Linked DNA regions of Rattus norvegicus. The protein of the gene in region 1 binds, or shares a complex with, the protein of each later gene. Links are inferred from orthologs where the notes say so. Each region holds a gene or a part of one and is shown on either strand. Other genes may lie near its edges.

What was found.
Region 2: the proteins of Gba1 (region 1) and Scarb2 are in contact, whole or in part, in a cryo-EM structure (PDB 9FJF), measured with the Homo sapiens proteins. The link is inferred for Rattus norvegicus from reciprocal best matches to the Homo sapiens genes GBA1 and SCARB2. Residues at the interface, in NP_000148.2 of Homo sapiens: Leu130, Asn131, Ala134, Ile169, Glu190, Lys194, Leu195, Pro430, Arg434, Ile445, Thr446, Asp448; in NP_005497.1 of Homo sapiens: Lys161, Ala162, Tyr163, Gln164, Lys181, Glu183, Leu187, Phe191, Arg192.

The regions. Positions count from the first base shown.
Region 1 is NC_086020.1:176,905,700-176,910,211, forward strand, and holds the start of Gba1 (lysosomal acid glucosylceramidase precursor), read left to right. Parts: upstream 1-1,502; 5' UTR 1,503-1,631; intron 1,632-1,993; 5' UTR 1,994-2,008; coding exon 2,009-2,063; intron 2,064-2,438; coding exon 2,439-2,630; intron 2,631-2,718; coding exon 2,719-2,865; intron 2,866-2,954; exon of another isoform or gene 2,955-3,029; intron 3,030-3,915; coding exon 3,916-4,049; intron 4,050-4,259; coding exon 4,260-4,432; intron 4,433-4,512. UniProt on the Homo sapiens protein: Glucosylceramidase that catalyzes, within the lysosomal compartment, the hydrolysis of glucosylceramides/GlcCers (such as beta-D-glucosyl-(1<->1')-N-acylsphing-4-enine) into free ceramides (such as N-acylsphing-4-enine) and glucose.
Region 2 is NC_086032.1:15,876,840-15,880,648, forward strand, and holds part of Scarb2 (lysosome membrane protein 2), read left to right. Parts: intron 1-470; coding exon 471-618; intron 619-2,649; coding exon 2,650-2,838; intron 2,839-3,469; coding exon 3,470-3,561; intron 3,562-3,809.

The DNA.
Region 1 (4,512 bases):
AGAACAAGTCAGACGTTTCCTTGAAGGTTTCCCACATAAACACTGGCCTGCTTACTTGCAACAATCGTGTGCAGTTCTATCATAACCACACCTAGTTGCTCTTCATCTCACAATAGCCCTAGGAGGCGGCTTGATCCCTCCTCATGGATAAGGAGCAGGCTTAGAGGAATTGATTTACTGAGTCTTAACATGATAAACAAACAGTACACCGTTGTGAGTTGCCAGGATTCAAATCAATGCATCTCGTAGAAACTATGCTTCAATACTGCCAGAGCAGTAATCAACTTTTTGAAGGTTATGTGATAAAGACTTCAGTGTCGTGATTATAAAAGCCTCATTCAACAAGCATAACGCTCCTGATTCTAATTACATGCTTCACTTGGCTTATCTTGCTAACTCTAGTAATGCCTCTGTGAGGTTGTGCTAGTGTCTGTGTTGGGCAAGTGTGGAAACAGGCTTAGAAACCTGGAATTAGTCAGATCATATGGTATGTGTCACTGCTAATAAATCTTATTTGATGTGATTTACAAAGAAACCTCAAGGACAGCTCTCTTTTTGTGTCCACCAAAGATAGACAGCATTTTCCAGTTTCTTTTTTTTCCCCCCTCCGGAAGCTGAGGAACGAACCCAGGGACCTGTGCTTGCTAGGCAAGTGCTCTACCACTGAGCTAAATTCCCAACCCTCCAGTTTCTTGTCAGGAAAGATGAGTAGCTTTCTAGCCAGCATCCGATGATGACACAAAGGAATGTAGAAAGGGCCAGTGAGGACTGACTACTCCTCCCTCAGGCCTGCTATCCAGAGCGAGACAGACAGCAGCTCCCTGCAGTTCATTGGAACTGCTGCCACCAGCTGTCTGAGAAGGGTCCTTTTTCCTCTCAAGGAGTCCTGTGAGTGCACCTGTCAACATTTCTGTCTGTCTTCATCTGTAACTCTGTAAGTATCTGACTCATGTGTCTCACTAGTCTCTTTAGAGCAAAGATTGTGTATATGTGAGGGTTTGTCGTTTTTCATGATAGGGTTTATCTGTGTAATAACCCTGGTTGTCCTGGAAATTGCTCTGTAGACCAGGCTGGCCTTGAACTCGAAGGGATCCCCCTGCCTCCTCCTCCCAAGTGCCAAATTTAAAGGCATGTGCCACCACTGCCAGGCTGTATGTGGGGTCTTTTAAATTTTGTTTTTATTTTTAAATTATATCTGTGTGACGGTATGTGCATGTGAATACAGTGTCCCTTAGAGGCTAGAAATCCTCTCTGTCTTGGATTTAGGAGCCTCTACTCAGCTGTTCATAAAATCCTTGTTAGAATTCTCTTCCTAAAGCTGTCATCCTTTAAGCCTCCCAAAACCTCACAGGGTATACAATGAATGAACAGCCTGGACGGATCCAGCTGCCCATCACAAATATGGCTTCGATTGCCTCACTTCCAGCATCACGTGACTGGTTTAGTCATCACGTGACTCTGTCCTCCCCTTTAAGCCGGAATTGCTGTGCTAGTCCGGCTCCAATAGATATGGTATCTGTCAATATACTTGTTTTATTTGGTAGATCTTCTAACTCTCCAAGACTCTGAAACTGCTACAATCTTCTTATCCACTGATCCTGAGGAGCTCAAGTTCTCAAGATCTTCCAGAGGTAAGGAAGCAGGGCTACAATTTGCCTGGTCAGTCTTGCTTCTGGAATTCTGCCCATCCAGATTAGGGAATTCAGTGAGTTCAGATTTTATTTTTTTAATTCAGGGCATCATGCTCTTGGAGTAAAGCACGGGTGGAGGGAGGACTGAAGGCTGAAATGGATGTGGGGGAAAGAGTGAAGAGAGCCCTCTTTGGAGTGGGCAACCGAGTAAAAGCAAGACCCCTCCAGTGTCTAAGGACATTGTCTGGTCACTAATAAAGGTGGGAGCCCATGCTGTAAACATCCACAGGCGGCTAAACTCTGGCCAGGAGAGTGGTCGCAGGATAGAGAGTCTTACATTCATTTCCTCATTTCCTTCTCAGAAGCGTCCTGGTGTCATGGCTGCCAGGTTCATAGGACTCTTCCTATTTCAGGCCATATCTTGGGCATATGGTGAGTCGAGGATGGGGATGGAGGCATGACGGTGTTTCCTTCCCCATAGTCCTCTGGGGCCTTTCACTATGATGGTGGACTTTCAGTAGGGACTCTGTAAGGCCCTTAGAGTGCCTGAGACATCTTTGGGCACAAGGAGTACAGGGGAAGGATTTATTTATTTTTATTTATTTTTATTTTTTTATTTTTATTTTTTCGGAGCTGGGGACCAAACCCAGGGCCTTGTGCTTGCTAGGCAAGCGCTCTACCACTGAGCTAAATCCCCGTCCCCTTATTTTTTTTTTTTTTAATTGTTGTTCAGACTCCTTAACTAGCATGCTCAGTCCCCCATAAACCTACTTTGATGCTTGCCTGTGCTTGTGCCCTGCTTTCTAGGTGCCCAACCCTGCATCCCCAAAAGTTTTGGCTACAGCTCAGTGGTCTGTGTCTGCAATGCAACGTACTGTGACTCTCTTGACCCCCTGACCTTACCGGCTCTGGGTACCTTCAGCCGTTATGAGAGTACTCGAAGCGGACGTCGGATGGAGCTGAGTACCGGGTCCATCCAGGCCAACCGCACTGGCACAGGTAGCCCCTTTATCTGCCCCTCCAAACCTGGACCCCAAAGTCACAGTAGTGATAGTGATCTGGACTGATTTCCCCCTTCTTCTTCCAGGGCTCCTACTAACCTTGCAGCCAGAAGAGAAGTTCCAGAAAGTGAAAGGATTTGGAGGTGCCATGACAGATGCCACTGCGCTCAACATCCTTGCCTTGTCCCCCCCGGCTCAGAAACTGCTACTCAAGTCCTACTTCTCTAGCGAAGGTGAGAAAGGGCGGAGCAGGATGGCACACTGTAATGTATGCCCTTCTTTATAGCCTGGCTTTATTTCAGTTTTTTTTTTTTTTTCTTTTTTTCGGAGCTGGGGATCGAACCCAGGGCCTTGTGCTTGTTAGGCAAGCGCTCTACCACTGAGCTAAATCCCCAACCCCTCAGTTTTTTTTTTTTTTAAATTACATTTTATTATCTGTTGTATGTGCTGTGCATGAGTGAGGAGGTCAGAGGACAATTTGCAGGTGTCCTCTGTCTCCTTCCACCATTTGGATCATGATTCAGGTCTTGCAGGCTTGGCAGGAAAAACTCTTACCCTACCCACTGAGCTGTCTTGCCAGGCTTTTTGCTCTCGCTTCCATATTTCCCCCTGACATTTGCCTCCCTTCCTTTTCTTCTCCCCTCTCCTCTCAGTCCCTCTTTGAGTGAGTCTCATGTATTCAAGACTCAAATCTACTGCAGTCAGTGATATCAGACTTTGAACTTCTGACCCTCCGGCGTCACGTTTCCCGAATGCTGGAGTTCCCCTGTTTTATACAGTGTTGGAGCGCAGACTCAGGCTTCATGCACCCCTGGCAAGCATTCAGCCCCCTGAACTACATCCCCAGCCTGCCTCTGTTTTCCCCTCTTTCTCTTTGTCCCCTTCCTCCCTTACTTTCTGTAGATCAGGCTTCCCTCGAATACTGTGTAGCCATGACTAGCCTTGGACTCTTAGTTTTCTAAGGGCTGGGATTACAAGCAGATGCCACCAAGTGTACCTGACTCAGTGCCACTGATTCTCCACAATTCCACACCTAGACCCTGGCTCTGAATGAGACTCTGTGGAGGACAACTGATTCAAGCCAGTTTTCATACTCGCCTTATTTTATTTTATTTTATTTATTATGAGACAGGGCCTTGCCTTGTAGCCCCGGTTGGCTTGCTCACATTGATCCGGCTGCCTCAGCCTCTGGAGGGATGGGATTCCAGGCGTGGTGCCACCACGCTCGCTTCATACTCTCCTATTGATTCAGACCTCCCTATCTGGGCCATCCTTTCCTGCAGGCATTGAGTATAACATCATCCGGGTACCCATGGCCAGTTGTGACTTCTCCATCCGCATCTACACCTATGCTGACACCCCTAATGACTTCCAGTTATCCAACTTCAGCCTCCCGGAGGAAGACACCAAGCTCAAGGTGGGCATTCCAGTTGCTTCAGCCCTGTTGGTATTGCTGTCTTGGGGCTGGGAAGGTCCAGGTTAGAGCTGTCTAGAGCAATGTGGAACCTTCTACAGCCTATCTGACTTGGGGGTAAGAGGGTGGGGGCTGATGGTTGGACCTGATACACTGGTTGAACTAGTATGTGTTCCAGCTCTGGGTGTCTCTCTCTTGACTGTTTGTCTCCAGATACCCCTGATTCACCGAGCCCTGAAGATGTCCCCACGCCCCATTTCACTCTTTGCCAGTCCCTGGACATCACCCACTTGGCTCAAGACCAATGGAGCAGTGAATGGGAAAGGGTCACTCAAGGGTCACCCAGGGGATATCTATCACGAGGCCTGGGCCAATTACTTTGTCAAGTAAGGGATCCTCAGGGCCATGGGGTCTGGACCAGTCTCCCTTTTGGACACCTTAGTCTGCATTGTACCCCTTGACCTGC
Region 2 (3,809 bases), on another chromosome or scaffold:
AGGGCCTCAGAAAGAGCAGTAAGTGCTCTTAACCGCTGAGCCATCTCTCCAGTCCCAGCCTCAATTTTTAAAATAAATTTATAACTGAATTGCAGTTGGAATCAGAGGGCACCAGCATGCGGATTGAAACCAAATCGAACCTGTGAACTGAATTGAAAACATTTCAGGACCAAGTTATAATTGAGGAAACAGCTCATTTGTCTGTCTATTTGTCTGTTTGACTACTGTGCCTTCCTGATACTGGAAGAAAAAAAACTGGAAGTTATAGATTTTGATGTTTTCCTGGGTCTCATCCCCTTCATCATCTTGGCTCTAAGTTGTTGTGTTTTTGCGGCTATCAGCGCCTATGTAAATAATCGCTTTATTAGAAGTGTTACATTGAAAAAATGTAACTTTTGTACTGAGCTGAGGGAATGGCTTTGTTTGTTAAACTGCTATCCGTTTTCAAATACGTTTGTCTGTTTGTTTAGGGAGCTCAGGAACAAGGCAAACGTTCAGTTTGGAGAAAATGGAACAACCATATCTGCCGTCACCAATAAGGCATATATTTTTGAACGAAACCAGTCTGTTGGAGACCCTACCGTTGACTTGATTAGAACAATAAATATTCCTCTGTTGGTAAGTCTCATTGTCATTAGCATTATTGGTTGTGGAAGGAAAACGGCGAGTCTGACAGATTTAAGGGCTATTATTTTATGATAATAAAATAAGAGCTATACAATTTAAGAGCTGTTTTATGATAAAATATAGATATTATTGGGGGAGGGGGGTTCATCTTGCAGGGGGGGTCCCTGAATTTAATCTCTGTACCATCAGAAAGCAAACACAAAATACAGATGCACAAAGACTTTGGGGTGTGTGTGTGTGTGTGTGTGTGTGTGTGTGTGTGTGTGTATGTGTGTCCCTCCTGGCCTCCAGCTTGGCATTGATACTTCTTCGTCTGCTTAATGCTTGAATCAGAGCCATGCTGTAGTAGGAGCAGTGTATGTACTTTTACTAAGTGTATGCCTTCCCCGTCTAAGTAGATAGATAGAGACTTTTTTCTGAGGTCTGTAGAATAAGGTCATTTCAAAAGTCATCAAAGACTGGGATTTCCCCCTGCCCCTTTGTGATCAGGATTAGCATTTATGCAAATAAGGGATGACTTTTTTTAAGTATCTAGAAATTTCAAACCTATTCATTCCTTTGTTTTGTCTTAGAAACCTACTAGAATTTTCATGTCACTTCTTAGATTTTTATTTTAAGTTCAAAAAATTTAAGACACACGATTGACACTTCCCTCCCCCATTCAGACCTTTGATTAGAGTGTACTGTGTTTTTCTTTGGTCTCCCAATTATGATGACAATTCCACCTTATAACACCTGTGTTATACCTACGCCATACTGAGACCCACAGGCATTCTTTCTTGAAACTGGACCTCTTGTAGCCCAGGTTAGACTGCCACCTTTGTCTGTTGTTTAATGTGGTGATAGGGATCAAATTCAGAGCTTCCTGCATTGTAGCATCGGAGGATGGGGCTGCTTTACCCGATGAGCTGAATCCCTAGCCCTCCCAGGAACTTTATCACCTATGCCATCCTCTTCTGAGGTCTCCACTCTAAAGTGACTGCTGCTTAACACTGATGGAAGACCCAGGACCTTCCAATCTGAAACTGAATCTTGCCTTGCCTTGCCTTGCCTTGTAAGAGTTTAAAGGGCCAGCTGCCACTTTGCTCCAGGGGGGGAATGGAGCCACCTTGTGGCCATGGTCTCTATAAGATCTCTGGGACATTGGCACCATTCAGAGCCTGCTAAAGGGGAGTTTAAATTCACATCTACGAGATGTAATATGAGCCTGCCCTGGAGGTCCAGGCCTGTGATCCCAGCTACTTTCTATAGCAAAAACTGGAAGATCAAAATTCCAGATTGGGGGATGGAGAGATGGCTCAGTGGTTAAGAGCACTGACTGCTCTTCCAGAGGTCTTGAGTTCAAATCCCAGTAACCACATGGTGGCTCACAACCATCAGTAATGATATCTGATGCCGTCTTCTGGTGTGTCTGAAGACAGCTACAGTGTACTCAAATAGAATCAATAAATAAATCTTTAAAAAAAGAAAAAATTGGGGCTGGGGATTTAGCTCAGTGGTAGAGCGCTTCCCTAGGAAGCGCAAGGCCCTGGGTTCGGTCCCCAGCTCCGAAAAAAAAGAACCAAGAAGAAAGAGAAAGAAAAAAAAAAGAAAGAAAAAATTTCAGACTGGGCTCCCGAGTGAGTTCAAGGTTAGCCTGGGCAACTTAGTGAGACTTGGTGTCTCAAAATTTACAAAATGTGTCCTGGGGCTTAGGGCTTAGGATAGAGATCAGTGGTAGTATTTGTCTATTATGTGTAAGGCCACAAAGTCTAGACAGAGAGAGAGAGAGAGAGAGAGAGAGAGAGAGAGAGAGAGAGTAATTTGAGCAAGGGCAGTATCTGAACTCTTATTCCACACAAAGACTGGAAGGTCACTGGTTGAATTTACTGTTTAGTCTCAAACATTTATAGCTCAGCTTCTGGCCTCTTCTACTGAGGGGCAGGAAGAGAGCCAAGTGGGTGTTTTTTGGTTTTTGGTTTTTTTGGCGGGGGGGGGGGGAGGGGGCGGACGGACACTGGTTAACCTGCCTCTACTCTGCAGACTGTTGTGGAAATGGCCCAGCAGCCCTTCCTCAGGGAGATCATCGAGGCCATGCTGAAAGCTTATCAGCAGACGCTGTTTGTCACTCACACTGTACATGAACTGCTCTGGGGCTACAAAGATGAGGTCTTGTCGCTCGTCCATATTTTCAGACCTGACGTCTCCCCTAACTTTGGCCTGTTCTATGAGGTAAGTTTCCTTCCTAGAACCTATCTTTAGCATACTGGGCCACACGGGGAAGAGGGCACACAAGCCAGAGTGCATCTTAAGTCTGGCTTTCTTCCAGGCGAAGACCAAACTTGCCTGGAGTTCTAAATATTTTACAAAGTCTGTGAAAAAAATAAGGCTTTGGAGGGGGAGGGAAAGAAACTGTCATAAAATAACTAGCTGGTGACGGATAAAACTAACCTCGGGAGTGAGTGAAACACTGAGGTAGGGTGAGGAAATATGCTCATAGTCTGGCCTGTGCCTGTCCGAGGTCTCCCGCATGATGCCATGACGCCATGATGCCATGACGCCATAGCATCTTACTTCCTCTCTGACCCAGGGCAAGCCTTAAAAGTTTACAAAATTTAAGAGGTTGTTCAGACACAATTATAAACAAGTTTTAAATGTTTGTTACTTCTGTGAGAGAATGGGTCCTGAAAGTTGAGTCTTGCCAACATTGTTTCATTCTAGGAGAGCAGCCTGAATGCATGGTCCTTAGAATGTCTTGGCTAACGAAGGGAGGGTGGGGGGGGCTCAGCTGGCAGGAAAGTTAATTTAAAGTAGCACAGCATTTTTGGTCATTTTTAAAATTGTGATGCTTGCTTCTTTCCAGAGAAATGGAACTAATGATGGGGAGTATGTTTTTCTGACTGGAGAGGACAATTACCTGAACTTTACAAAAATTGTGGAGTGGAATGGAAAAACGTAAGTCCTGTAAGAGTTCCTAGTGTAAGGTTTTTCAAGTTTTCATTTAAACAAAATGTGCCTCTTTTTTTCCTTCCTAATTTAATACTGGGGCTGTTGCTTACTGGCAGAGCGCCTGTCTACCATACACAACACTCTGGATTTGATCCTAGCCATGGAAAATAAGTTAGCATTTGGCTTTTGTATAAAAACTGTCAGCATTCTTTTTTTTCTTTCTTTCTTTTTTTTTGGTTCTTTTTTTTGGAGCT